Linked DNA regions of Astyanax mexicanus. The protein of the gene in region 1 purifies or fractionates together with the protein of each later gene. This does not show direct contact. Links are inferred from orthologs where the notes say so. Each region holds a gene or a part of one and is shown in the gene's direction. Other genes may lie near its edges.

Region 1 (8,106 bases):
TGGAAACTTTGTTCACCATCTTCAAATAAGTGAAAGTGCTTATACCATACAGTAGATATATATTCAGTTACAAGTGGAGATCCTGCACTAAAAATCGTAAGTAAAATTATGTTAAGCTATGATGTTTATCACTATGAAAGAGATTTGAAAGCGTTAAATCTGCTGATTCTTAGCATAATTTAAATGATGTGGATTTTAAATGGTAGAGCAAGCGAGGGGAGATAATATATGACGATTTTTATAGCAGATATGTCTCCAGTGTTCAGGCACCGTATGATTTATAATAAAAATATTTAAAACGCAGCATATTAGAACATGCTCCTAGCATAAGTGTAGGTGGGCTTTTGGATATACTATATCACTGTGTTAGGATAAAGTTTAATTACGAGGCTGAAGTTGGTTTGATATTCGCAGCTCCAGATTCGTTTGGCTCGATATTCGCAGCCTCGTATTCCCCGGCTGAAGTTGGTTTGATATTCGCAGCTGCCGCTTCACTGAACCACCGTGAACTAAAGGGAGCGTTCACAAACACCCGCTGTTTATATTAAACACCTCACAGATCAACACTGAAGGAGATAGAATGAAGAAAAGCAGTACATCTGTTTATTAACAATGGAAATATACAATATATTATTAAATATAATTTTATATACACGACCTTTCATCACTTATTTTCTCCAGTTTTACTTACAACATGAATTTGCTTTTCTAGTGTAATTCATTCATTTCCTGAGTAAAAAATATCTGAAATAGAGATTTAGCCTCCTACTTTCAAGAAAACCTGGCATTATCCTGTCCGGAGCCAATTGTATATTGTAAAATATTTATTTTAATTACTGAATTTATAATTATATATTATAATAAGTAATAAAAATATATATTTAATAAAATTATATTTTAAAAGCCATTGCGCTCAAAAAATATGAGGCAGATGTTCAAGTGTGATTTTGAAGAACTTTTTCATGTTGGGCCAGAACAAATACACATGATCTGAAGAGTACTAGTCTTCTACTGTAAGAAAAACCTGGAATTAGCCTGGCCCAAGCTGATTTTATACTTTAAAATGAACTGCCAACATGGAATACCGATCCATAAAGCACAATTTTTTATGTAAAGCTGATGTTCCAGTGTGATTTTGAAAGACTTTTTCATCTTGGGCCAGACCAAATACACATGATCTGAAGAGTACTAGTCTTCTACTTTAACGAAAACCTGGAATTAGCCTGGCCCGAGCTGATTTTATACTTTAAAATGAACTGGCAACATGGAATAACGATCCATAATGCACAAAAAAATTGAATATAAAGCTGATGTTCTAGTGTGATTTTGATGGACTTTTTAATCTTGGGTCAGAACAAATACACATAATCTGAAGAGTACTAGTCTTCTACTTTAAGGAAAACCTGCAATTAGCCTGGCCCGAGCTGATTTTATACTTTAAAATGAACTGGCAACATAGCATACCGATCCATAATGCACAGTTTTTTTTATGTAAAGCTGATGTTCTAGTGTGATTTTGAAGGACTTTTTCATGTTGGGCCAAGATGAAAAAGTCTTTCAAAATCACACTAGAACATCAGCTTTACATAAAAAAAAATGTGCATTATGGCTCGTTATACCATGTTGCCAGTTCATTTTAAAGTATAAAATCAGCTTGGGCCAGGCTAATTCCAGGTGTTCCTTAAAGTAGAAGACTAGTACTCTTCAGATCATGTGTATTTGGTCTGGCCCAAGATGAAAAAGTCTTTCAAAATCACACTAGAACATCAGCTTTACATAAAACAAATTGTGCATTATGGCTCGTTATACCATGTTGCCAGTTCATTTTAAAGTATAAAATCAGCTTGGGCCAGGCTAATTCCAGGTTTTCCTTAAAGAAGAAGACTAGTACTCTTCAGATCATGTGTATTTGGTCTGGCCCAAGATGACAAAGTCTTTCAAAATCACACTAGAACATCAGCTTTACATATAAAAAAATTGTGCATTATGGCTCGTTATACCATGTTGCCAGTTCATTTTAAAGTATAAAATCAGCTTGGGCCAGGCTAATTCCAGGTTTTCCTTAAAGTAGAAGACTAGTACTCTTCAGATCATGTGTATTTGGTCTGGCCCAAGATGAAAAAGTCCTTCAAAATCACACTAGAACATCAGCTTTACATAAAAAAAATTGTGCATTATGGATCGGTATTCCATGTTGCCAGTTCATTTTAAAGTATAAAATCAGCTCGGGCCAGGCTAATTCCAGGTTTTCCTTAAAGAAGAAGACTAGTACTCTTCAGATCATGTGTATTTTTGGTCTGGCCCAAGATGAAAAAGTCTTTCAAAATCACACTAGAACATCAGCTTTACATAAAAAAAATTGTGCATTATGGCTCGTTATACCATGTTGCCAGTTCATTTTAAAGTATAAAATCAGCTCGGGCCAGGCTAATTCCAGGTTTTCCTTAAAGAAGAAGACTAGTACTCTTCAGATCATGTGTATTTGGTCTGGCCCAAGATGAAAAAGTCCTTCAAAATCACACTGGAACATCAGCTTTACATAAAAAATTGTGCATTATGGATTGGTATGCTATGTTGCCAGTTCATTTTAAAGTATAAAATCAGCTCGGGCCAGGCTAATTCCAGGTTTTCCTCAAAGTGGGAAAGTAGTTCTCTTCATCTGATGTGTATGTGTTCTGGCCCAAGATGAAAAAGTCTTTCAAAGTTTGCCAGTTCATTTTAAAGTATAAAATCAGCTTGGGCCAGTCTAATTCCAGGTTTTTCTTAAAGTAGAAGACTAGTACTCTTCAGATCATGTGTATTTGTTCTGGCCCAACATGAAAAAGTTCTTCAAAATCACACTTGAACATCTGCCTCATATTTTTTGAGCGCAATGGCTTTTAAAATATAATTTTATTAAATATATATTTAATTATTTATTGTAATATATAATTATAAATTCAGTAATTAAAATAAATATTTTACAATATACAAAATTATATTTAATAATATATTGTATATTTCCGTTGTTAATAAACAGATGTACTGCTTTTCTTCATTTCTTCATCTCCTTCAGTGTTGATCTGTGAGGTGTTTAATATAAACAGCGGGTGTTTGTGAACGCTCCCTTTAGTTCACGGTGGTTCAGTGAAGCGGCAGCTGCGAATATCAAATCAACTTCAGCCGGGGAATACGAAGCTGCGAATATCGAGCCAAACGAATCTGGAGCTGCGAATATCAAACCAACTTCAGCCTCGTCTTCAGCCTCGTAGTTTAATTAGAGTAAAGACATAAAAAAAGTTTTTTGTTCATTAATTATTTTTTTATTGTTATTATTAATTGCCATTTACAGTTTTGTGACATTCAAGCCAATAAAGGCAGTGATCTCAGGTATTTTAATGCGCAAGGGAAACAGAATTATCATGAAAAATAAATATAAAAAAGCTGTGTTCTTTGTTAAAATGCTTGATTAATCTGGAAAAAATAATATAAGTTAACCAAAAAGTCTCTAGACTTGGTATGTTTTTTCTCATTTTAGTCTATTTTCCTTACACTCTAAATTTTCCTGCACTTCTCTTTTGGTTATATGTCCCTTTCTCAGTGTTAAATCCATCCAGTCCAGTCCATCTACAGGCGCATGCGTGTACTTACAGCAAGCGTTTAAAGTCAGTGCCGGTGTTACAACTGCGAAGTAGCGCCCTCTGTGGTCACAAAACCCGACGGTCACAGAAAACGGTGTAACATCGGTTTATGGAAAGCTCTTGTCCTCCGTTATACTTTACAAAATAACTGCACACCGCTAGAGGGAGTCAATGAAGCCAATTAGCTAAAAACTCAAATAAATGAAAAATAGTAACTAATCACTTGTCCAGGACATCGCTTTAATATTATCAAGTAGTTTCAGACAGTAAAGACCTGAATAATTAGCATTACTGCTACTGAGTGCAGACTGGTTGATGAGCTGGTGCTGGAAATATGGAAATACAGTTAGAGCAGATTTTAAAATGCCCAGAACATTTGAACATTTTAAAGGACCATTTTCAGTATAAAAATGTATAAGAATGCATTGAACAAAGTCAATATACTCTCTTTCTTAACTGTTTTTATATTTTTAGAGAAAATATATCTTATGCATTTTTTTTTTTTTAAACAATACATAAAAAACCCGAATAAACTAATGTTTGGAATAAGGGTATCTTTTTAGCGAATATTCGTTTGTGTATAAAAATGTACCTAAACTTATAATTAAATTTACTATACTTGTAGTCAGATGAAGGGTCATCAAAAAAATACAATATATACTGGAATTTAAGAGGAATTTCCTTACCCAACCTCCTCTTCAAGTCTTAAAAAAGAGCAAGACAATACACAAGAAAAAAAGTGTTTAATGGACTAAATGTGGCTCCTTTACAAAAAACTCCTCACTTATATATATAAAAATACACAAAATAGCATTAACCGAGTAGCAAGGTTTAATATAGCAGTTATTTTATTTTATTATTGAGAACATATAATAAAAGTCAAAATAAAACGACTGTTTATCCTTTGTTGAGCTGACCATTTAAGGTACTTTTTAATTTGCTAAAATGATACCATTATTCCAAACTTTTGTTTATTCATATCTAAATAATTATATACACTCACTGACTAATTTTCGACTAATTAAAAAAAAAATCATAAATCCATCGATATTTTATTTGAATCCCACTTTTCTTTTCTTTTCTTTTTTGCTTTGTTTGTTTATTTGTGTTTTTGTTTTGATGTACTTGTGATGCTGATTGTACAGGATGTGTATTTGACCTATTATTGTGTCTATTTTAGGCTGTTGGACTGTATTGTCCTATTACATTGATTCAACATTGGGGTTTATATTTATGGTTTGTATTAAACTTTACTTGAATTTTATGTTTATATATACTGTAAACAAGAAATAAAAATAAGAAGCATATATGACCAGCAAACCATTGGGCTGAGTGGGGAGCGCCCTCTGGCGGTGAGATGAACCCGGAACACGCTCTGAATCGGTGCAGATCCTTGTTCCTGTTAGGTCACATGTCCAGGGCGCCAAAATAACGCGTCAACAGAGAGCCGTAGTGCGGCGCCTTCACCGTGTCTGAATGAACCCGGAGCTGGCGATGCCTGGATTTGATTTTCCAGATATTTTTATTGTTTAATCTGTGAATGGCGCCTAAACAGGACCCTAAACCTAAATTTCAAGAAGGTAAGAGCGCTGCGGGGCGCGCCGTGCGGGGCGCTGCTGCTGCTGCGGGGGGCTGTGCTTTTGTTTGTGCTAATGGAGAGAGTCGCACAATGGCGCTGAGAGGAGCTGAAACACAAACACAGACCCGGAGAGAACCGCGGCTCTCAGGGATCAGAGGACTGGGGTCCGGGGAGCGGACAGGGTTATCAGCAGGGCCGCGGGTCTGTCTGGTATCTGCGGTGTTTCGGGTTTAGATGAAAGCCTCTGGGAAATAAGGCGGGTTGTCTCTCTGTGTGAATATGACCTATAGCTAGCGTTAGCCAATCAGCTCTCCCCCTGATCCACTACTACTACTACTGCTGCTGCTGCTGCTGCTTCAGCCACCAACTAAACTCTAATAGAATAGCTTAGCTTGCCTTAACATAATATTATGTCGCTTTAAAGCTAATTACATTAGCAAAATATCATGTAAGCTATTTTGTTTTTACAAGGCTTTCCAAGCTTCCTAAAACATCACAAACCAAGCTTGAAAATGTGTGGAATACTGACATTAATGAATTCTTAGATGATAAATCTGTAATTTATTATAGAATAGCATAATATTTTTACTCCAAGTATGAAGATAAGATGTTTTCACATGGAAATGCTATTACACAAAATTCATTACAGTCCTTGCAATGTACATGCTTATGGACTTAATGTTTCAAATATGTGTTAGAGATTCTTAGTTATAAAATAAGTTTCTCCATATGTTAGTAAATTCCTTTATTTGTTTTGAAGATGTTTAACAACATGGTAGTTAGTTATAAGCTAAAAATAGCACAATAGCAGTCTTGGCAATAAAAGCCTGTTCATTTCCAAATGTGTTGCGACGTTTGTTACGAACATGCGTTTGTGGGACAAGCGGTAGAGCTGAGTATATGGGTTATGATAAATAAAAAATGGCAAATCCTTTCAATTAATTGTATAATGAAGAAATGGTACAAACTGGAAGTCCAACCTAATTAGCTAGCTATTAGGTTTGTTATTTGGGAAATGTATTCTCAGTTTACTTAAGCTACAGCTATTTTGTGAAGGCCTCATATGTTTGTTAGAGAACACTAGTGACACATGGTAGTTTAAGAAAGATTAGATAGCCCACTGTTAAATCCATCATCCAAAAATGGAAGTAATGTGGCACAGTTGCAAACCTACCAAGACATGGCTGTCCTGGCAAGAAGAGCGCTAATTAGAGATAAGAGCCCCATGGTCACTCTGGAGGAGCTGCAGAGATTTCACAGCTCCCTTATGGAAAAGTAGGCAGAAAAAAGCAATTTTTTTGAGGAAACCAAAAGAAGTCCCATAGAAGACACAGCAAGCAAATGTGGAATTGTGAGAGCAAATGTGCTCTGTTCAGCTGAGACCAACGTTGAACTTTTTGGATTAAATGCAAAATGCTATATGTGGCAGAACACACAACAATCCTGAAGAAAAACCTGTTAAAGGCTGCAAAAAAAAAGTTGTTAAAAGAAAATGCAGTAAGGGTGGCATGACCTGGCCTAATGTTGTCTTGCTTTTTTGTGCCTTTATTTCAGGTGAACGAGTGCTGTGTTTTCATGGGCCATTGCTATACGAAGCTAAGGTAACTTTTTCTTTATATTATTTTTCTTCGGAAAATCTGAATAGATAGATTGAATGCAACAAATTGTATGTGACCAAATACACCATTTACTGTCGTAGCAGAATTAAACAGTGTTTGTGGGCTGGTCTACAGCACAGTTTGTTGTTTTTCTTGCTCAAACACATTTAATTAAGCTGCTAATTGTAAATGTAATGCCTGGCCCAGACTAGACTATAGGATCTTCACACAATCTTTCACCAGTCTTTTGTCTTTAATCAATGTTAGTTGTAAACCTTCTCACACTACATGATCCACCCCGAATAAAAGCACCACACAGAAGTGGATAACAGCAAAACAATTTGTCAGTGCTTCCTGCTTAAAACAGTAGGTTAACACAATTTAAGTCCAACCTATGTAGTCTATAATCTCAGCTCTCTTGGTTGACAGTCTTCACGTTTCCCACCAGACAATCATCATCATCATCCTCACTCTAAAGGTTATTGAGTCATAAATACAAAAAATGTTTGCCACTTATGCCTCACGATTGGCACAGCCCCAACTTTTCTGGGAAAAGATCAAAAGATCAGAGAAAATTGGTCAGATTATCCTGTGGTGTGGGCCGGGCAATAACAGATTTCAGGTGGGATCAAACCAAACTAAGCTGAGCACCAACACAGACCCTGTCCTGAATATCTCTACAGCACCGATATTTCCGGGTGCTGCACCCCAAGTGTTGATCATGTCAGTAAATCTGTTTAGCCTGTTTAGCCATGTGCTTGAAGTTTGTGTGGAAAAGATTTACCTTATTGATCCTCTCTTTTACAGTGTGTAAAAATCAATATTAAGGACAAACAAGTGAAATACTTCATTCATTATAGTGGATGGAATAAGAAGTAAGTATTCTCGTGTTTGTTTTGATGTCAATAAGAGATTCTGCTGCAGTATTAGCAGATTGATTGTTAAAATATTGTTTATTTATTAATAAAATAATAATGCATTTTATTTAATAAGTATAAAGTGCTTTATAAATTTGTCCTGTTTTTTAAAGCTGGGACGAATGGGTTCCTGAAAGCCGTGTGCTCAAATATGTGGACAGTAATCTGCAGAAACAGAAAGAGCTTCAGAAGGCAAATCAGTAAGTTTCTTATGGCGCCAGCTAAGAACGGCAGAAAACGTATTTGTATTAATGTTAAACATTCAGTTCACATTAAGACACTCTTTTTTTTTTGTCATACCTCCTACACTTACATATAGTTTTAAACAAAGTATAAACATTGATTTCACTTCTTTTATTTAGATTATTTAGACTCTCTTTGTTAGATTTCTA
Region 2 (7,684 bases), on another chromosome or scaffold:
CCAGCTGTAACCCCACTCTTTACCAAATTTGACTTTCACTGTATTTTTGGTAGTTCCTAAAACAAACTTTTTATTTTGGTCTTGGTTAGTAGTGGATTTCACCTTGCAATTCACCTGCACCATCCTTTTTACTTAGTCTCGTAAATGTTGACCTTATTTAACTTGAGTAAGGCCTGCAGTGCCTGTTATGTTCGTCTGGGATATTCCGTGACTTGCTGGGTGATTTGTGACTGCACTCTTTGAAGAAGAATTGACTCTCTACTACTGTGAAGATTTATCATAATGTTCTTTTTTTTTTTATAAGGTCATAGGGACACTTTAGCCTACTTCAGATTGCCGAAATGTGTCCATTTCAGTGATATTACAAGTTTTGATATCATATACTTGAGTCATCTAATTACATCATTTGGAGTTACAAATCACGGCACATTATAATGACTGGCCTTTTTCATGCCCTTTTTAGCATTTATAGAGATATTTGAGTGTATAGATCTTTTAAATATGCTAAAAAAAACATTAACTGCAGGTTCTTTAAACCATTCTTTTTTGTGGTTCTTTTGTGGCAGCTATTGTTCTACGAAAACAAAATCTATTAGCACCTTTTGTAATACAATGAACTTACAAAAAAATATATCTAAGCTGATTGCTTGCATCTAGAAAAAGGGAGAAACTGTAAAAATAGGTTTTGGTGAGCTATTCCTTTAAGCTTAAAGTTTCTGCAAGTGGGCTGATGTCAGCATGCTTACAATTATATTTACAGAGATACACTTCATAGCTAGGATATGAGTCACAGCTGCATCATGTACCATCTGTGGCAGGATGAGGTCCTTACTGTTCTCATTACCAGCCTGTTTCATGGTTTATATCTTAGTGTCTAAAGGTGCTATAGTAAATAGTATTTACTTTGACATACAGTAGTTGATTTTTTGTTTTTGTTGTAACATATATATATAATGGTGCTATTTTAGTTCCACTGGTGAGCCTGCAGGACACCACCAGACTATAGATCCTATTAAATCACAGACCTTACATGCAGAAATCTGAAAACAATAAAAAACAATACATAAAAATGAATAATATTCCCTCTTTAAACATAAATTAATGTAGTGTATAGAATGTTACAGGCCAGTTTGTTCTGTTGAGTTTTGTTCTGCTATGCACTTTGAGATTACCAACAGCTCCAGTCACTGCAGTTAGACACCCCTGTCATAAACTATTGATGAATTATCTTTGACAGCTGACTGCCATAGGTTACAAAATGCTGGGACGCTTTACATTCCAGTCATCACAGGGTGCAGCCCAAAATATCCTTGACTCCTAAAGTAAGCTGCTGTCTGAAGCTTTACTGCACACCCTGACTGTTATGTCATTACATCCTCATAACATGAAAACATATATCATTACTACATATATCAATCCTGTCAGAACAAAAAAAAAAAAATATATATATATATATATATATTAAAAATTAGAATTTTACATGATAAAGAAAAATCCTGTAAAAAAAAAAAAATATATATATATATATATATTTTTTTTTTTTTTCGGTAAGTATATAATATAAAAATACTAATGATAATTATAATAAAATAATAATTTTGGAGCTGTCCGATTAGTGCATTCAATCATTACCTTTTTACACAATTGCATTCCTTTTAAATGTATCTATTTTTTTAAATGAATCTATTTTTTTCTTATAATTTATAATTATATTATAATTTTAGTATTATTTTTATCCCATTTTTTCCCCAATTTACAAGGCCAATTACCTAGCCCACTCATCAGGACTCCCTCGATCACTAGTGATGCCCCAACACCAGGAGGGTGAAGACTAGCACATGCCTCCTTCGGTACATATGAAGTCAGCCAGTGCCTCTTTTCGAACTGCTGCTGATCATACCTGTCAAGATTTTGTTGTAAAAAGAAGGGAAATGTTCCACCGCCCGCTTCTAGATGTCCCACTAGTCCAACCGAGGTTCAGTGTGTGTATATATATATATATATATATATATATATATATATATATATATATATATTTTTTTTTTTTTTTTTGGTCAATGGTATTGTCTGCAGTCAGAAGGAGTATGTATGATATTATACATAGTATGTATATATATGTATGTACATAGTATGTATGAGTATGTATCATCATAGTATGGTGTTTTTAGGAATACCCACTCTCTCCTTGCATCCATCCATCTCTCTGAATTGTCGTTCCAGGGTTGTTCCACCTGTCTGCACTAACCTCGTGAGAACTGCCACTTGCAGCAGCCTGGGTGACAGTTCTCACGAGGTTAGTGACATTTCAGTTTGGAGAGGCACAGTATGTTTTTTTATTTTTTATTATAATATGTATAATACTGGAAATTTACGGGAAAATACTAATACAGGAGGACGGCGGGAAAAAGGGCTAAATATGGTACTTTCCAGCCAAAAAGGGAAACTTGCTGCTGATCCAGAGTTGCCAAGTAGCCAGTGCACTTAGATGGAAAGCGCAGCAATTCATTTCCGATACATCAGCTCAAAGACCCCTGGGGCTGAGCGACATCACCCTTTTTAGAGTGATGTGGGGAGAGAGCACCATCTACCCACCCAGAGAGAGCAAGGCCAATCGTGCTCCCTCAGGTCTTTGGCAGCTGATGGCAAGCTACATGAACAGGATTCGAATTAATTGCATACAGACTTTTAATACATCCCAAAGGGTAGTAATGGGGTAAAGAGCAATAGTACAAGCATATTATTTATATGTACCATATTGTCCCAATTTTGGGTTGTAAAAAACATACAATAATAACTAATTCAGTGTGGATTTCAATGTTAAGGCACCAGAAGGCATTTTATTATGTCAACAGTCCAGGCTGCTGGATAAGGTCATGGTGTGGCGGTCATGGTCAATGTTTTCTTAGCACACTTTAGGCCTGTTTAAACATGTGCATCACTTCATGGCCACAATTTCCACAATCTTCTGATAGCAACAGAGTGACAAGCAACCATTCATTTTCTAAGGGGAAGGGGTGCAATTTGTAGCTGCGATTCTGCAACTAGAGGCAAGCGACAGTGCAGCAAATATAGTTGACTTTATGCAAAAAGTATGATGCTGTCAAACGACACAGTACACCAAACAAACAAATGGCCAAACAAATTCTTCCGACTAATCACAGATACAGGGTTCTGAGATCCCCACCCTCTGCTTTGTGAACCTTTGATTCCTACCATACTTTTTTCCTTAGTGGTGTGCTTCTGAACACAAAAGAAAGCATTATAGCCGCTGACTATTCCTTTCTTGTTCTATATGATGCCTTTTTTACAAATATAGTGGCAGTTTGGATAAAAGTAAAGCTTGGAAAAAGTAGTGGATAGCTTGATAGGTAGCTTGTAAGCATGATTACCGGCCATGCCACTACATGCCCACTCATGACAGGGCCAATACCCACAACACACCCACAAGAAACAAATGTGGGGCAACGTGAACAACTTATCGCCTGCCAACATGACCGCAAATTTAGCATCACAGCTCCAACCATGTCAAGGTTGGCTGCTGGCATAGCAGCTAACCCGCTTGAAACTTGCCGAGCCCAGCTGCTATGTCTGTTAGCATCACGGCTCCAAGCTTGCTGAGGCCAGTTGCTAATGTCGGGCATAGCACACTCCAAACCTTCCTAGCCTGGAGAAACAATTAAACCCAATGGAGGTCAGCGTACAGTGGTGCGGCTACCACATGCAATGTCAAAGTGCCTTAAGAGCAATGTTTGTTAGAATTGTCCTAATCTTGCTAAAGCCAGCTGTTAGCATCACGGCTACCCCACTGCAACCTTCTAAGGCTAGGAACACCATAAACTGACAACACACACAAACATAGAGAGGGTGCATTCTCTGCTCAGAACACATTTACAGAGCTCCACATCTTTACATTGACAGCAGTTGTTTGCTGCTATATTTATGTTAAAATGTCGAATTATACACCTTTAAAGGTGAATTAATGAATTAACGAATGAATCATCTCTGTTTCAAACTCGCCGTTAAGTGACACCCCTGTTTTACATGCAGGCTTTAAACACGAAGCTCATCCACCAAACCCCAAACAAACCCGCAGTCCAACCAGCAGCGTATCCACGTAGATCAACGTGTTCAGCCGCCCTCCGCTCAGCCCCGCCTCCAGTCTGCGGCGGCCAATAGGAGAACTCCGGGCTGCGCGAGCGTGAAAAACACACACCAACTGAAAACAGCGCTTTGACACAAACCTTCACGGTTGTGCCCCAACGACCTCGAGCCTGTGCGCACACGCGCACTTATTGGGCTGTTTATTAGACCGGTTCTCCGCTACTGACTCCCAGGGGAGTCTACACTGACTGTTTTTCACTGACTGAGTGTCAACGGTGGCACGGGGCGCACGAAAACACGACCCCTTCCACAGTCGTCCTCGGACAGGGCGGCCATCGCGCCTCTGTTGTACTTTGTGCAGCGAAATAAACACAAACAGTCGGACATTTTGTTTGTAGAGTCCGTTCTTTAGCTATACAACTGAAGGGAAAACGAGGAGAAAGTGGAAACACCAATAGCTGTATACATAGGCTATTGCGCCCTCCCTCCATCCACCATCCCTCCCTCATTCACTCACTCACTCCCTACCCCTCCTCCCTGTGTCTGCCTCCCTCCCCTCCCGCCGCTGACTGGGAGAATGCCCGTGTTGTACTGACAGAAACGATACGGGCTCAGCAGACATGGAGGCCCGATTAACGCCACAGGCCCGCTCGGACAGCCCTGAGCTCGACTAGCGCGGTCCCCGCAGAAGGAATACGGCGACATTTTGGAAACTTTCACGGGTAAACTACCGTCGGGACGAGCAGGAGGGAGAGGGCGCAGAAAGCGAGAGAGAAAAGGAGAGAGCAAGAGATCCATTTCGGGTTTCTGTTGATTCAACGCAGCCGCCATTTTGTTGACAGTTGGTGTTTTTTAATAACCTGTGCGGAGCTTTTTCCAAACAGCTCCCTCTCTTGTCACTGCGCTTTATTGTGTTTGTGCTCCGGGAGACGCCGGGGTGTTGTTATTGCTCTGTTTTGTTTTTGTCCCGGGTGCGCAGGAACACTTCGGGTAACCTAGGTTAGCTAGCGTTAGCTGAGCTAACCGAGTTGCACCACAGCGGGCGCCTCGTTTAACGTGAGCTAGCTGTTAGCAATGTAGAGTAACGCTACGTGCGGAACGCTCGCAGATATAGCCCGCTAGCTAACGCTAGCTAGCGAGCTCTCCGTGCCAGTCAGTAATGTGCCACTGACAGGACAGACACCTCAGCCCAGTTTCTAATCAGTGTTTCTGCTTAATAGGCTCCACTTTGAGTTTATTCTGCTATTTTTATAATTGGTCGTGATGTTGTGGAACATGTGCTTTATCGCATTCACTGCTTTTACAGCCACGTTGCTGGACAGCCACCCTAACCTACCATCACAGAGCGAAGCCTGAACCCTTAACGCAGCTAGATTAGAGAGTTATAACAGATATAATCTAGCTATGGTAACGTTACAGTAAAGTAATAAGCTGCTAACGCGGGATAAGCTAATGTTATTCGTCCTCCTTGCAAAACATAGAAACAACGAAAACGTTGTCTACTCGTATAATGAATGGCTTTGGGTTAGCTGTGTCCACAACAACACAAATGTTTAGCTAATCAAACGAAGCATTTGATCAACTAACCTAGCTAGCTATGTTTGGTGCTGATATCTAGCGTTAGCTAGCTAACGTTACCTTTCACTTGCCGTCATTTCGTTGGTGGCAGTTGACGTTAACATCTAGCGTTAACTAACGTTGAATATATGTTTTGGATGGTCATAGAAGGTTTAATACAATCTCGTTTGTTTTAAAATGTCTTATATATATATCCCCCAACGGTCTTAAAATGTCTGACATTAAATAACCTAGGTTACAGTTCTGTTATTTCCCGAATTTTACATGTAAGATTGTTTACAGATTTAACCTACCTAACCTAACTGCAGGCTGAATTAAAACGGTAGTTGGGTAGGTGAACGTTACTGTAGCTAAGCGGGGGTTGTAGGGAATTGTACATTCAATTCAAAAACCGGTTAGATAACCCCACTATTAGGCTGGGTCCCTTTCTCAGAATAGTTTCATTTTTGTTTTTATTGCGAAAGTGGTCCTCAATTATTATTAACGTGGTATTAAACGTCTGAAATTTAGGTTAGCTAATTCTCCACATATGCAGACACCCTGACCGTGAGCATCCAGTTAACCTAGCTAGGGTTCATGTCCCTCTAAAGCTCTCTCAGGCTGGATCACGCTGTTCCGATGATCCTGGATGTTGGTGATCGAGGCGAGCTGTTATCTAGTTCAGCAAGGATGATAAATGAAGAGGAATAAGCTGCGTTAGGTAGTTGGAGACGTTTGCAAGATTTGTGAAGACGTCTGTCTGTATCCTACTTGGCTGCCTGTGTTTGTTTTCTTCCACATTTTTGACCTTTTTTTCCTTTTTCCTTCTCGGGACTTCAACAGTTTCAACATCACTTTCCCAAGGGAACCATGTTGGTACGCACGCAGAGTGGATTTTGAGTGGATCTGAACGATGTGATCGCTGGTTTAGAAAGCGCTAAAATCACGGTGAGTTGTTTTTCTTTAGCTTAGCTACCCAGTTATCTTCTGCCATACAGTTACATTGGTGGTCCACACGGCTGTGAGTGAAATAGCAGTGTCAGTGTGTGTCTAATGCGAGATTTCAATGAGTCTCCATTCAAATCACAGTTTTAGCATCTTAGGATCCACATGTTTGTGTGTTGGTAGTGCTTTTACGACTTCCCAGGCTCTTGCCAAAACTAACGATGGAAGTCATGATGTAGCCAGTCTCATTAGAACTGCAGCGGGAGAAAAACGTGTAGCCAAAATGCCCAGCTTGCTGTGTTTTCATTCTGGAAGTCTGCATTCGAGATCCAAGATTTTTATTAGTCATTTGTTACAAGCAGCCTGTGCTGGAATTCAGACAGGCAGCTCTCTTGAGTTAACAACAGAGAATATGAGCCGTACTAAAAGTTCTCTGGGGACAGATGCCTTGTTTTGTAGTGTGTGTGTGTGAGAGAGAGAGAGAGAAAGAAAGAAAGAAAGTGAGAAAGTAAGTGTGTTAGCCACACTTCAGAGTTAGGTTAGATGCTTCTATACTCACTATGTTTTAAACTTACTTCTGCAATCCCCAAGTAACTGCGGTGAAGTGCTACAAGGCTCATAATTTCACGCCTAGTGTGTTTACACAGTGGTTTAACTGGTTTATTTATCACTCATTTACCACCGTTTCTTATTGACAAGCAAGGAAGTTGAAAGGGAAATTGCAAAGTGTTAAACAATGATCTGATTGTTCACCTGTCAGTGGTTTTGGTGCTTCAGTAAATGAAGAACAATTCATCCTGAAGGAACCTCAATTATAATGGGTCACTGAACGTGCACACTTGCTAGGAACCCTGTGGCTGGTCTGCATGTTAGAGGAGAGCTTCTTTTACTGACTGACCACTCAGCAGCTGATAAGGGAGAATCTGTCTGGAAACCTCTGAGCAACCCCTGACCTCTGACCCATGGAGAGGTTATTTGCTGCCAAGAAAGGAGGAGTTCCCACAGTCTACACCAGTGTCTGTGCCTCCTCTCCTATCCATTCCTTAAGCAGATAAAGACCAATGTGAGGAGAGCCTAGTCT
Region 3 (7,295 bases), on another chromosome or scaffold:
AATTTTTAGCATTGCATCGATGAGAGATTTGTGGGCCGATACAGAAACCCCATATTTTTTATGTACATACTTGTTGATCGAGATCCATATTCAGAATTTCTACTACAACTTCTTGGATTGCAGCTGCACAGAAATTTGTTTAAAATCATGTATAAATTGCAGACATTGCCATGCATTCTACTCTTCTGAAGTACCGTTTACACCAAAACCCCTCAAAATACATGCAAATAGTAGGAATAACATTAGGTTCAGTATCTTCTAAAGATGCACAGAATATTTGGCAACCAAAAATATTTGTCAACAATATTCAGCTGAATATTGCACTTTTGGTATTTGGACAATAAGTGAAAAGGGTGAGTAATTCAAACTAAACTGTGACTTATGTATTTTACGCTGTTTCAGATCACAATTATTAATATATTTTACTATTTCTTTCAGCAGCTGCACTTTACTGGATTCAACTGTTAGCTAAAAACTGACAGGAGGGCTCCCTATAGCCATAGGTTAATATGTCCATAGTTAATGGTCATTGGCCATACACTACAAGTGATTATGTGATGGTGATTGAAAACACTGGAGTATTCCTTTAAACTAGGGGTGGCAAACATACAGCACACAGTTCTAAACCGGAACAATACTGAAAAAAAATTAAATCACATTATCTCATTGTAATTCATTAGATCAGCTAAAAACAGTCTTCATAAATCACACATTGACACTGATCTATAGACATAAACAGGGACAGAGCAAGTTCACAGCAAAACCAACCAGAATCTCAATTTTACTGACACTTCACTAAGATAGGACCTGATGTTCTTCAGAAATGTTAGCTAGCACAGTTAGAGCACTGTTGGACCTGCAGGGTTTGATCACTGTTCATGAACTGCTTTATTGGGACCTGTTATAATACTAAAGCTCTAAAAGAGGCAGCAAGTAGAGCTGATTTTGTCAGTCAGCCACTATTTCACAAAATGACCTAATGCTCTATAATAATTAATAATCACGTATAACCATCAGTACTAAACGGAAAAAAAAAGTACGAAAAAAATGCAGTGTCAGGTTTCGATTAAAATCATTCCGAGTTCACGTTGGACATGACATTAGTTTGCCACCCCTACCACAGGGGAAAAAGAAGTGTATACACTATATGTACAAATGTTTTGGGACACCTTTGTTTCTTATGAAATCATGGGTAAATGAAAATAATATACCCTGCTTTCTACTAGAGTTTGTAGATTGCTGTGAGGATTTGATTGCTTTCTGCATTATCCACAACTTATTCCAAAAGTATTGGATGGAGTATGATTATTTCAGGCACATCTGGAATTAGGCATAGTGCCAGTAGGTTCATGTTCATTGGTCCTATTGGCAATACTTTACTATTGAGGACTAGACAAGCTGTGTGTGTGCAGTTGTACATCTGTGTCAGCTAGTAGCTAAATGCATTCAGTAAAAGGGGTGTCCACAAACATGTGGATTTATAGTGTAACAGAAATATGATATTTGTGTGTGAAAAGGAGAGTGCTAAGAAGCTCTAAATCGTATGATGAAAAATGTGGTTCTTTCTGGGTTCTTGTTTAACCTGTAGAGGAACCACAAAGATGAGGTTACAAAAACAAACCCATTTACCTGTGTGAATAGAAAGTGAGTTATACTACTCTTTTATTTATTTCTTTTTCAAAAAGAGAAAAATGTGCTAATGCACACTGAAAGATTTAAAAAGAAGTTTTAAAAATTAAAAAATGCAGTTTGCTTTATCAAGTACTGCAGTGATCTCAGTCCACAGGCTGACCCATGACCCCACCATCAGTCTCGCTTGCTTGCTTCATGCACTTGCACACAAACCTGTTGCACTTTGTTAAAAGAGACAGGTTTGCTTCAAATGACTTGAAGCCACTTCTTGACCAGTGCTTCAGGGCATCCCGGTGATGACATTGTGCCTACTTTTGCTATGAGCTGGGTATATACCCAAACTCATCATCCCCTGGTTGAAATGGTTGACTGCTTGACATTATTAAGCATTGGATTATTCTAGAAAGTCTGTAATATCTGGTGCACAGCTGGAGCCTTTTCCAATCGTGTCACCAGGGGTCACTAAAGCTCAAGAAGAAAGGTTGGGTGTAGGGATTTGGAGACTGAAGTTTGCTTTTCCTCTAAACACGCTCATTCAGTTCTATCATTCAGTGTGCCTTTTATGCCCTTCCCCTATATTGTCTGTGTGTTGCCACATTTAAGTTAACCTCTTATAGTGAAGATTTCATTCACTTAATGAAAAAAGTGATTAAAAGAGACTGCATTTTTTGTTACTCACTTTTACAATCAAAGCATTTTGCGGGAACATTTTGTATTTCCATGGGCCAACCATGTGTTAAATCATTGCTTAGATTTCTTTTACACTGGATTGAGTCCTGTGTTAGTTGGAATGTATACTCTGAAATGGGGAGTGAGAGGATTGAAAACCAGAGTTGCAATGTGTGTCTGACTAAATTGTCATTTAAAAATTACGTTGTGTTTTACTGTGATTAATTTCAGTGCCCTGGGTTGAATTAATTGTAATAGATTACAGACATTTTGCCTGGAAGAGTTATGAGTGTTTTCCTTCATTTTCATGATTCAGACCTCATTCAAGCTGTTCCTGTACATGGAAGTAGTCCATGTGATTTGATTGTTCTGAACAGACCACCACATGGACATTATTAACTACAAAGTACAATTTTTTCAAAGTAAAAACAAAATGTTTGTTTGGAAGACAGGAAGCAAACTTTTCCTGATGTGGTGTGGTGCTCACTTCACCATTTAAAAGTCTCTTTTAGGTATAAAACCATGGGTGTTGAGAAGTAAGATACCATAAGGCTAATCTCAGGTTCAGTGTGGGCCTATAAACCACAAGCATCACTATTTAATTACAATTTACCTATTAACTTGACCTGACCTTCAGTTTTCTAGCATATCAACCTTTATTAATAGAAAATAATAAAAATGAATCAAATAGTGTTTCAAAACTTGGCACTAGTGCTTTGATTGCACAATTATTGACTTAAGGCTTGGTGATGGCTTGAAACACTTTAACAGGATAGGGAAAAGTGCTTAAATTTTTTTAAAGTTTGCATTTATTAGATGACTGAAAGCTCGGGAGTTGATATGTACGAGGATGATGTGTACGTGTACTTTGGTACGCAATCAAAAATACCGCCCCCCCCTGCTGACATTCAACCATCTGGGTCTCACCACTATCAGAAGCACACTGCTCAGCCCAATCAGCTCTCTCTTCTTGCCCCACCCCTAAAACCCATACATCACCCAGTGCCCCTCCCAAACTGTCATTCCCATGTTTTAGCCTTTTTTAAATTTGAGCGGAGGGTGGAGTCAGCAAAAATCAGGGGGTTTAGTTTCCCTTTAAGCTAATGATGGTTAGCCTGGATTTTGCATATTTACCACTATGACACCGACAGGAATTTTAAATTGTGTTTACTTTTTGTTACAATAGACTAGGGGTGGGCAATTAATTTAACCAAGGGGCCACTTTTGTAACCAAGGGACTATTTTGTAGGGCTGGGCCTACTGATTGATCTCTATTTTGCTCAATGTTCATTTTATCTCTTTTTAAAAATCCAGTAATTATATGGTTTTCATAACACATTACTAATAAGATCTTACACTTAGGCGATAAAAATGTAAAGGCATAGTAAAAAAAAGTATATTATATAATTATTTAATTATGAAAGTGAAACACTAAAAGTGTTTTAGTAAAAGAACAACAATAAATTCAAAATATTCTTGCTATATTTTCCGTTCAGTTTCTGAGGTGGATTTGTAAAGGGCTGGATATACGGATTGTTGAAAACAAGAAGAAAAAATAATTTTGGTTAATCATATGTATAGAAAAATATCAGTTATGGAAAACTAGAACAGACTAGAATGACAATAGATCAAACTTTTGAATCAAGTAATATTGTTTTTAATCAAAGTATGAGAGAACGGAAGAGAAGAGGGACTTAGGACAAAAAAACAAAGCCAAAAGATTGGACTTTGTGAATTTTAAAAATGTAAAATTGTTACTGTTATAATATTTTGTAGGTAATGTTGTTGTGTTTTTTGTAATTGTAAAAAAAATCTAAACTTTTTTTTTCTAAATAAATTCTTTAAAAAATAGAAACGCAAAGGGGCAGATAATCTAATGCCCAGGTCTGCATTGAGTTAGTAAAGGGGCTTTTATTTTGAAGACGCCGTTGAACTCGGCCGGAAGAGGTAGCTCAGTTTGAGGACAAGGGGGGCTTTTATTCTGTAGATAATGGAGGACAGGGTTTGTTGTTGCAGTTCATTGTTACTAAAATTATTATTTGCAGGGTTTAGACATTTTCTATTAATTTAGGAATAAAGTCTACAGACTGGGAGTGTTTTGTGTATTATTTAGCAGCGTTTAATTGCGCTGAGGAGCAAACAGCTAGCGTTAACTAGCTATATCTATCTTTAATACGTACTGTGCGGCGGTGAGACCTGAGAGCAGTAGGTTAACGTTAGCTAGGCGGGTACAGAGGGAAGATGCCGCTGGGAGTGAAGCCGAGCTGCGCGGTCTGCAAAACCAACTCCTCTTCTATGTGGAAAAAAGGAAACCAGGGAGAAATCCTGTGTAATAACTGCACTTCTAAAAGCAGTGTTGCTGGAGGACCCGGGCTCTCCGTCTCTTCCACCACTCAGCAGAATAATGGCGGAGGAAAACAGGTTTCATTACACTTCTGTTTTTATTGATTTCTATGTTTCTAACCTAGGTTAGCTAGCAGCAGTATTTCTCGCAAATGGCTACAGATTTCTAAAGTGCTTCTAAAAGCAGCCTGAGCCAATAAGCGTAAGTTACTTGTTCCAAAAATCTACACTGTCAATTGGCTCTTGCAAATGCATGTAAATCATTCGATTCAAAATAGTAAGAATATCATTTAAAAGTTACTTTACTTTAGTAATTCAGTTAAAAACTTATGTTATATAGATGTATTACTCACACAGTGTTCTACTTTAAGCAGTTATTTATTTCATTGTTGATGTTTATGGCTTACAACCAGTGAAAACTCAAAAATCAGTGTCTCTTTATGTATAATATTATATAAGACTTGGCAGTGTGCCAAGTCCTGCTGAAAAATGAAAACCGCCTCTCCATAAAAGTTGTCACCAGAGGGAAGCATGAAGTGCTGTAAGATTTTCTGTGAAAACACTGCACTGACTTTGGACTGGATATAACACCAGTGGACGAACAGTGCACCAACTCCAGCAGATGACACGGCTCTCCAAACCATCATTGATCAGCAGTAAATTTTGCATTTAATTTAGAAATTAAGGGACCAGAGTCTGGAGGAAGAGTGGAGAGATACAGTCCAAGCTGCTTGAGGTCTAGTGTAAAGTTTCTACAATCAAGCAAGACTTTCACGTAAGCCATAATCATCAACAATAAAAGAAACAAATGCTTAAAATGCTTTTTTTTTGAGATGCACTAGTATATTGTTATGGCCCCCAAAATAATATCACAATATTTCACTGTATTTTTGAGACAATATGACAAAATATTATAAATATGTAATATTTTTAAAAATACGTTTTAAGAATTTGTACTGCAGCAAAACATATGTTTTATTCAGTTTAAATATAAGAGTTTCAAACTGCACACAAACAATTAAAAGTAAAAAAATTGTATAGTGGAATGTAATTTTGTGCATCAACATTTTTATGTGGATACTCCCCTCTGTGTATCAACCATTTAAACTTCTCCATTTGCTCAGTCGATGTTTTTTCAAAAGATTTACCCGAGTAATGTGTGAAAAAATAGTACAGAATTACATTTATAGGTAAATAACATTTAAATCACTTTCTGAACATCTCAAATGCATATAATCAGAGAATTTGTACTTTATAACAGCACTAACATGTTGATTCTGTTTCCTTCTAGTCTAAGCAAGAGATCCACAGAAGATCAGCACGACTGAGAAGTACTAAGTACAAGGCACCTGCATCTGAGAAGAAAGTCTCAACTAAGGGAAAAGGAAGGCGGCACATTTTTAAACTAAAGAATGTAAGTTCTATCCATGAACTTCATATATTATGCTTAAGTAAAGCAGAGTGAGTAATATATTTTTTTTCCCTCCCTCAGCCTATCAAAGCTCCAGAGTCTGTATCCACAATTATTACGTCAGAGTCAATCTTCTACAAGGTTTGACTTTCTAATCGACTTTTAAATGGAATTTCAGAAGCGACAGTTTTTCCCCAATTCACTTTCTTCCCTTTTCTCCAGGGTGTTTATTATCAAATAGGAGATGTAATAAAGGTAACAGATGAAGAGGACGGTAAACCGTATTTTGCACAGATTCGTGGGTTTGTTCAGGACCAGTACTGTGAAAAGAGTGCCGCACTAACCTGGCTAATCCCCACTCAGTCTAGTCCAAGAGATCAGTTTGATCCAGGCTCTTACATTGTTGGTAAGTTAATGTTGTATTCTCATTTTAGCAATTGATTCTTTTTGTAGCATTTTAAACATGACTAAGCAAGTATTTACCTTCTCAGGTCCAGAAGAGGACTTACCAAGGAAAATGGAGTATCTTGAATTTGTCTGCCATGCTCCATCAGAATACTTTAAGTCAAGGAGTTGTCCTTTTCCAACAATACCCATTCGCCCAGAGAAAGGCTACATATGGACCCATATTGGACCTACACCTGCTGTTACAGTCAAGGAAACAGTTAGCTGCAGTTAACTGTTTTGTTCAGCCTTGTAACCTGAGACCAATATTCAAATACGGAATAGAAGAAAAGATTAATCAACGATTCGCAACCAGGCAAAATGATGGACATTTTTACGATCATCGTGAATTGAGTGTGAATTTCCACACCACTGCCAGAAACGAATGCTAACAACTCTACTCTGCTATACAACAAAGCAGATGTCCAGTTGCTTGGTACTGTAAAATGACAGTAGAGAGTGGAACCCTGTTGTCTCTGGGGACAGAAGACTTGATACTTAATTGAAGTATTAAACAGTTGGAACAGTATCTCTGTGCAGACTATCTTGATGAAAACAATAATTTGTAAATATTGTAATGGACATATGTTTGTTAACAAAAATAATAAAAAATATGAATAAAATATAATGTGTCTGAGATCAGTGAATGATCTGTTAATAGTAAGGTTATCATTTTTGTGGAAAAAAAGTATTGGGACACCTGTAACTTTATGTACTGTAAAAATTTGATTGCATTTATGCACAAGAGCATTGGTGAGGTCAGAAAGTTTGATGATCACTGCCCCACCTCATCCTC
Region 4 (7,327 bases), on another chromosome or scaffold:
GTATATATTGTATGTAATGTTAACACATTGAATACTGTTGCACATATTAAAACGTGTTGCCTAAAGAATAGGACAAAATAACACCTAAATCACTTCATCATGTGTATGGGCCACAAGTGTAGATGATACAAAACTCTTTTTCTCTGCAGTGAAATAAGTTAATTACATTCTGAATACTTTGAGGGCTTTAGAGACTCTCCTACAGGACACTTGGAAAAGCTGCCACTCCCCACTCCACTTAATCATTTCAGATCAGTAAGAAGAATCATACACAAATTCTGCATGTTTGAATTTAGACATAAAAACTAGACAACTGTAAAGAAATAAAAGGTTTGATAGACATGAAATGTTTGATCTGTATTCACTAAAATGTTGATTTTAAAATAAAGTAATGACAAGGAAATCTATTTTTTATTTTTACATTTTCTATATTGTCCAAACCTTTGCTAGTTTTATTTTTAATGTCAGAGTGGGGTTTTGCCAGTAGAATTATTCTTTTAATGTTTAAATAAGGCATACCTTAAACATATAAAAATGTGTAGATTAGTTATTTTCATAGGGGTATTAAAAGGTGTTTTGTCAGGCATATCTTATTTTTCTGCATTATACTTAATAAAATATAGTGAAAATAGTGCTTAAAGTTATACATGTTGTTGGTGTGTTATTGAGAGAGAAATGTTAGTGCTGTAAATACAGAATAAAAGTATTTTTGCTGTTATGGTATCTCCATGTTGGCAGTAGCTTTTGTAACAGCACCAATAGCAGAACAATGTTTGCTCAGGTAACCAGCAAAAGCTATTATGGCCAGAAAAAGGTCAAATACACTGTTTTTACAATTTATGTGTGTGCCTTTTTAGGAATGGTAGCAAGGGGCACATTAAGGCCATTTACTATAAAATGTTGCCCTCTCTTACAGACTGCAGGTATATATATATATATATATATATATATATATATATATATATATATATATATATATATATATATATATATATATATATATATATATATTATGGCAAGCTATGGCAAGCCAAACAGGAAATATATAATAAAAGCTGATATATATATATAATGAAAGCCGATATATATATAATGAAAGCGATATATATATAATGAAAGCGATATATATATAATGAAAGCGATATATATATAATGAAAGTGATATATATATAATGAAAGTGATATATATATATATATATATATATATATATATATATATATATATATATATATATATATATATATATATATATATATATATATATATATATATATAATGAACTCTGATATATATCTGATATATATATAATAAAAGCTGATATGCCTGAGAGACTGAAGGTGGCGTTGTTGTTTCAGCCGGCCGCAGCTCCTCGCGCAGGGGAGGCCGACCACCGGCAGGCAGCGCGGCGCATTCTCTCCACAGAGGAGCGGCGCGACCGGCCTCGGACTGGCTTTAAAGTGTCAGGGGGCGAAGGTGGCAAAAAAGCTCCGGCCCGCGAGCTGCTTTCACCGAGCCGGGGACGGTCTACCAGTGTTCATTATATACATATCAGCTTTCATTATATATATATCAGCTTTCATTATATATATATATATATATATATATATATATATATATATATATCAGCTTTCATTATATATATATCAGCCTTTATTATATATATATATCAGAGTTCATTATATATATATATCGCTTTCATTATATATATATCACTTTCTATATATATATATCAGAGTTCATTATATATATATATATATATCAGAGTTTATTATATATATATATATCAGAGTTTATTATATATATCAGCGTTCATTATATATATATATATATATATATATATATATCAGAGTTTATTATATATATATATATATATATATATATATATATATATATATATATATATATATATATATCAGAGTTCAATATATATATATATCAGCTTTCATTATATATATATATATATCAGAGTTCATTATATATATATATATATATATATATATATATATATATATATATATATATATATATATATATATATATATATATCAGTGTTATCCTTACTTCCTTTTCCTGATGATTTAATTTCCTGTTCCTATTTTTCCCCCCAAGCTAGCTGCTGTTGTTAAAAAAACTTATGGAGTTAATATGGAAATATTTAAAATGAGATTTAACTAATTAAAAAATAATTAATAATTAGTTTCTCAAATCCCTATATTTTCCCTATATATATATACGGAAAAAATAATTAATAATTAGTTTCCCAAATCCCTATATTTCCCTATATATGTATACGGAAAAAATAATTAATAATTAGTTTCCCAAATCCCTATATTTCCATATATGTATATATATGGAAATATAGGGATTTGGGAAACTAATTATTAATTATTTTTTAATTAATTAAATCTCATTTTAAATATTTATTTAACATTTTAAGCAATTATTTCTTTATTCATTTATTTATATGATATTGTTACAAATAACACTCCATAAGTTTTTTAACAACAGCAGCTAGCTTGGGGGAAAAACAGGAACAGGAAATTAAATAATCAGGAAAAGGAAGTAAGGATAACACTGATATATATATAATGAACTCTGATATATATATATGATGAAAGCTAATATATATATAATGAACGCTGATATATATATATAATAAACTCTGATATATATATATATATATATATATATATATATATATATATATATATATATATATATATATATATATATAATGAAAGTAATATATATAATGAAAGTGATATATATATATATATATATATATATATATATATATATATATATATATATATAATGAAAGCTGATATATATATATAATGAACACTGGTAGACCGTCCCCGGCTCGGTGAAAGCAGCTCGCGGGCCGGAGCTTTTTTGCCACCTTCGCCCCCTGACACTTTAAAGCCAGTCCGAGGCCGGTCGCGCCGCTCCTCTGTGGAGAGAATGCGCCGCGATGCCTGCCGGTGGTCGGATTCCCCTGCGCGAGGAGCTGCGGCCGGCTGAAACAACAACGCCACCTTCAGTCTCTCAGGCTGACTGTGCGGACCACCCGTTTACCTCTTAAAGGGTTTTAACAGCTTTCATTATATATATATATATATATATATATATATATATATATATATATATATATATATATATATATATATATATATATATATATATATCAGCTTTTATTATATATATATATATATATATATATATATATATATATATATATATATATATATATCGCTTTTATTATTTATATATCAGCTTTCATTATATATATATATATATATATATATATATATATATATATATATATATATATATATCAGAGTTCATTATATATATATCGGCTTTTATTATATATATATATCGCTTTCATTATATATATATCGGCCTTCTATATATATATATCGGCTTTCATTACATACATATCACTTTCATTATATATATATCGACTTTCATTATATATATATCAGCTTTTATTATATATTTCCTGTTTGGCTTGCCATAAAATATATATATATATATATATATATATATATATATATATATATATATATATATATATATATATATATATATATATATAATCTTCTCATTTAATATTTTTCTTTATTTATTTACAATTAAGGGACAAATTAATTACATAGAAAAGGAGGAGTCAACAAAGATGTTCTTTAAACTTGTTTGACTTTACTTTTTAATTTGGGAGAAATGTTAGTAGTTCACAGGATAAAACATGTTCATTTAAAATTTTACTTAAATATATACCTATAAAAATGAGAAACTGATCATTTTGAAGTGGTCTTTACATGTTTTTTTTTTTTGTTTATTAGCCTAAAGTTAGGTCATGATTTGTGTGTGTTAATTATGGGAGATTATTGGTAAATTGTTAGGGTTGTAAATACTGAATAAATGTGTGTAATGTTCGCCTGTGGCCCTTAAATCCGCTGTAAAGCAGAAATGCAGTGTGTTTGTTGTGTTTTGGGGGCCTATAGCTAACTATAATCCTGCGTCTCGCGCAGGCCGCTTGCGTTTCGTAACGTTCTCGTGAGCGCGCGTCCTCGTGCTCGTGCCTGTGTGTGAGCGCGAGAAGCTGCGCGCGCACCCGCACCCGCCGCGTGCACGCGCTCTGCTGCTTGCTGCTCGCTCTCCGTGTCTCGCGCTGCCTGCCGGGATTGCGTTCATGTCCGCCATGTTCTCTGTGGCTCCGAGAGCGGAGCGCCCGAGTAGGAGTAGCGCGGCGCCGCGCAGCCACTAAACCCCGCTGCAGGAATGGCCCCGGCCGCCGGCCTTCGAACGCGAGGGAGTCAATGATCGGCACGGCGACGGCAGAAGGAGTCGGCGGAGCGAGAATCCGGCGGGCGCGGCCCGTTTCCCCCCCCGCGTTTCCTCGGCGTCGTGTTGTTTGCGTGAAATCACACCGTCATGAGTAAACTCTCGTTCCGAGCGCGGGCGCTAGACGCCGCCAAACCGCTTCCAATTTACCGCAATGGAGACATCCCGGACCTCAACGACTGCGTGTCCATCAACCGCGCGGTCCCGCAGATGCCGACGGGCATGGAGAAGGAGGAGGAATCGGTAGGTTATCGCTTTAAATCGCCTTTATTCCACTTCATACACGGGTATATTCGGGTGTGTGGCGATACATGGCTCTTAGTGGTATTCACAAACGGTCATTACGCTAACTGCGTAAGCGACGGTTAACATGAGCTATCTAGGCAGTTAGCTATATACTACGCTGTATGCGTAGTGTAGAGAGAAGATGGCGAGGGCGGCGTTGTGTGTGGTGTTTTTTTTTGTGTGATGTTGCTGGTGGTTTACGCAAACGAGCTCTGCGCAAACTGCGTACGCAGTCGTGCGTACGTAGTCCTGCGTACGTACATACGCCTGTGTTACGCCTTTGTATGCCTTTGTCTAGTGCTTTAGCGTGAGCCGAGTCGTGAATTGCGTAGCTAGCTGCGTCACGTCGTAGAGTGTCGGTCCGTTACCATCTGCGCGTTTTGAAAAGCGGAGCCTGTGTTGCGTCGAGTTGCGCTACCTGTCGATTTGTGCTTCCTATACATTTTGCGCATGCGCACACAATACCAGTTTTTAACAAATTTTAGCTACAGAACTTCATAGTAATTCCTCAATAGTTTTACTCGGCTAAGTTTCACAATTTCAGTTTGCTTGTACTCGTTTTTTAAGATATGTTTGTATTTTGTTTTACCTTAGTTGTCTATAACGTTAGCTAACCTAACCTAGCTAGCCACCCTGATAACCTAAGCTACAATGGTTTAGGCTGTATAACGTAAATATATAGTTTAGCTAGTAAAGCTATGAACGTTGCGCATTTTAATAGACTTCGTATTGCTTTATGCGCGCGCACACAGTAATGTGTTCCCAGAGTGGCTTACCTGATGTTTAAGTGCAAGTAAATTTGAATAATATCCGTTAAAGTAATAATATTACCACAAGGACAACAATAATAAGCATTATTTAAAAAAGTTTAGACACTTGTTAAACGTTTAGAAAATTTACAATGAAGAAAAATGTGAAATAGCAGCTAATATAACCTAGTGTTATTATTAGCAGTTAAAATGAAATAGAGCTTTACCTAGATGTATAAATAAGCAGGGAGGCAAGGAGCAGCGCTTTAGATGTTTGGGTGAAAGTAAACAGCCCTACTTTTGCTTGAATTATTCTCAGAATTATACTTGGCTGTTTTATTTAAGCAGCTTTAACTACTTAGGTAGTAACTACATTATACACCATGGTAGCACGTTTTGACAAGGTATCGCAAATCGACAAAGCACCGCTTCAAAGCCTGGCTAGGCTAGATTAAGCTAACGTGTACACAACAGTTAGCCTAGCTTAGCTAGCTAAGTTAAATCTGCAGTATTTTAGGTGATGATTGAACTGCGTGGTGCTCTGTCACCATTAAGCATTCATTATATTACACCTATTTAAGCATACAAACATGTATTTAGCTATTTTGGTTAGCGTTAGCTTGGATTGTTAGCTAGCTAGGTTGCTAACTATTGTAGCTTAGCTAGCTTAGCTAAAAAAGGAAAGACTCGGATCCTTATTAGCTAATGCTTACGAGAAAACCTACGCTATTTGGTTGTTTGCGTGTGTGTAAAAAGGTTGTAGGATCATTTTAATACAACACTGCTCTATAGCTTATTAAACTGATGGTGGTGCTAGCTAAGCTAAAGTAGATAGATGGCTAATATATATCTAGCCAGTTAGGTTAACTAGCTAGCTAGCAATTGAGATTATGGCGCGTTGGGAAATTCAAGCTTTATTTTAGCATGAATTCACTGTTTTTCACCTACATCTGTAGGTTAAATCTAACATCCTGCTCTTTCCTGTAATTATTTATTCGAATGGTTTATTATATAGGTTATATTGTTCTTTGGATATTAAAACCTTAATGAGACGTTTGTAAATGATTTATTCAGTGATTTATGAAGCTTGGTTTTGTGGTGTGACCTTTATTAACGTCTAAAAGTTTTATATTATGTGGAGATTACTAATAATAGCTGTATACTGGTGTGTCATGATAAGAATAGTTTGATATATCATTCCAGAAATTATTGTGAAACAATATTATCCTTTTTATACCGTTAAATGCCACTGACATTATGGTAATATTATAACATAATAAAGCAACTGTACCCTTTTTATAAAGACAACACAATTAGAAATTAATCATACTTTGGTACATATACTTTTTTCACCTACTGCAGACCACACTGTGTGTATGGGTAGAGTTTTTAAAGCACTGGTCATTTGCATGACTGGCTACAATACTGTTTACTGTTATTTATGTGAGCAAATAAACACAATAGACAGTATCATTACTGTCATTAGGTCATGTTCATTTATTGTATGACAGGGCAATAAAGTAATTGTTGTGACAGGCCTAAACTTAGGTCTGTGGTGTGACCTTTATTAATACAAAATTGTGTCTGTTACTTATCATGTTTGTTGCTATACTGGAAAATAAAGAGTCTTAGATAGTAGGGTGTTCGATATCGTATTGTGCGTCACAATAATATTGCCAAAAATTCTACACAATAAAGAAATTGCATTATTTTTTATATTTGGTATGTACTGTATTTGGCTCATATTACTTATTGGCTAATATTTGGTGATATGGCCAAAATTTATATTACAATATAGGTATTAACTTTGCTTACTACATTATAGTTCCATCATCGATATGAAGAGTATAAAAGCCCCCACCCTTAGTGTACGTAATCACGCACTGATAGAGCTGGGCAATATGGCAAAATATTATATGACAGTAATTAAAGATAAAAATTA

What was found.
Region 2: the proteins of morf4l1 (region 1) and ash1l purify together in Homo sapiens (affinity purification with mass spectrometry; 4 studies listed by BioGRID and IntAct, counting the BioPlex papers as one, with this or other methods). This does not show direct contact. The link is inferred for Astyanax mexicanus from reciprocal best matches to the Homo sapiens genes MORF4L1 and ASH1L.
Region 3: the proteins of morf4l1 (region 1) and gatad1 purify together in Homo sapiens (affinity purification with mass spectrometry; 7 studies listed by BioGRID and IntAct, counting the BioPlex papers as one, with this or other methods). This does not show direct contact. The link is inferred for Astyanax mexicanus from reciprocal best matches to the Homo sapiens genes MORF4L1 and GATAD1.
Region 4: the proteins of morf4l1 (region 1) and epc2 purify together in Homo sapiens (affinity purification with mass spectrometry; 5 studies listed by BioGRID and IntAct, counting the BioPlex papers as one, with this or other methods). This does not show direct contact. The link is inferred for Astyanax mexicanus from reciprocal best matches to the Homo sapiens genes MORF4L1 and EPC2.

What each region holds. Positions count from the first base shown.
Region 1 is NC_064416.1:24,296,790-24,304,895, forward strand, and holds the start of morf4l1 (mortality factor 4-like protein 1), read left to right. Parts: upstream 1-5,015; 5' UTR 5,016-5,160; coding exon 5,161-5,200; intron 5,201-6,753; coding exon 6,754-6,800; intron 6,801-7,604; coding exon 7,605-7,672; intron 7,673-7,827; coding exon 7,828-7,914; intron 7,915-8,106. UniProt on the Homo sapiens protein: Component of the NuA4 histone acetyltransferase (HAT) complex which is involved in transcriptional activation of select genes principally by acetylation of nucleosomal histones H4 and H2A.
Region 2 is NC_064410.1:28,539,027-28,546,710, forward strand, and holds the start of ash1l (histone-lysine N-methyltransferase ASH1L), read left to right. Parts: upstream 1-4,656; 5' UTR 4,657-4,823; intron 4,824-6,501; exon of another isoform or gene 6,502-6,606; intron 6,607-7,684. UniProt on the Homo sapiens protein: Histone methyltransferase specifically trimethylating 'Lys-36' of histone H3 forming H3K36me3. Also monomethylates 'Lys-9' of histone H3 (H3K9me1) in vitro. The physiological significance of the H3K9me1 activity is unclear.
Region 3 is NC_064410.1:50,880,407-50,887,701, forward strand, and holds the start of gatad1 (GATA zinc finger domain-containing protein 1), read left to right. Parts: upstream 1-4,264; 5' UTR 4,265-4,542; coding exon 4,543-4,722; intron 4,723-5,935; coding exon 5,936-6,058; intron 6,059-6,136; coding exon 6,137-6,196; intron 6,197-6,277; coding exon 6,278-6,461; intron 6,462-6,546; coding exon 6,547-6,734; 3' UTR 6,735-7,295. UniProt on the Homo sapiens protein: Component of some chromatin complex recruited to chromatin sites methylated 'Lys-4' of histone H3 (H3K4me), with a preference for trimethylated form (H3K4me3).
Region 4 is NC_064418.1:14,790,827-14,798,153, forward strand, and holds the start of epc2 (enhancer of polycomb homolog 2), read left to right. Parts: upstream 1-4,168; 5' UTR 4,169-4,441; coding exon 4,442-4,594; intron 4,595-7,327. UniProt on the Homo sapiens protein: May play a role in transcription or DNA repair.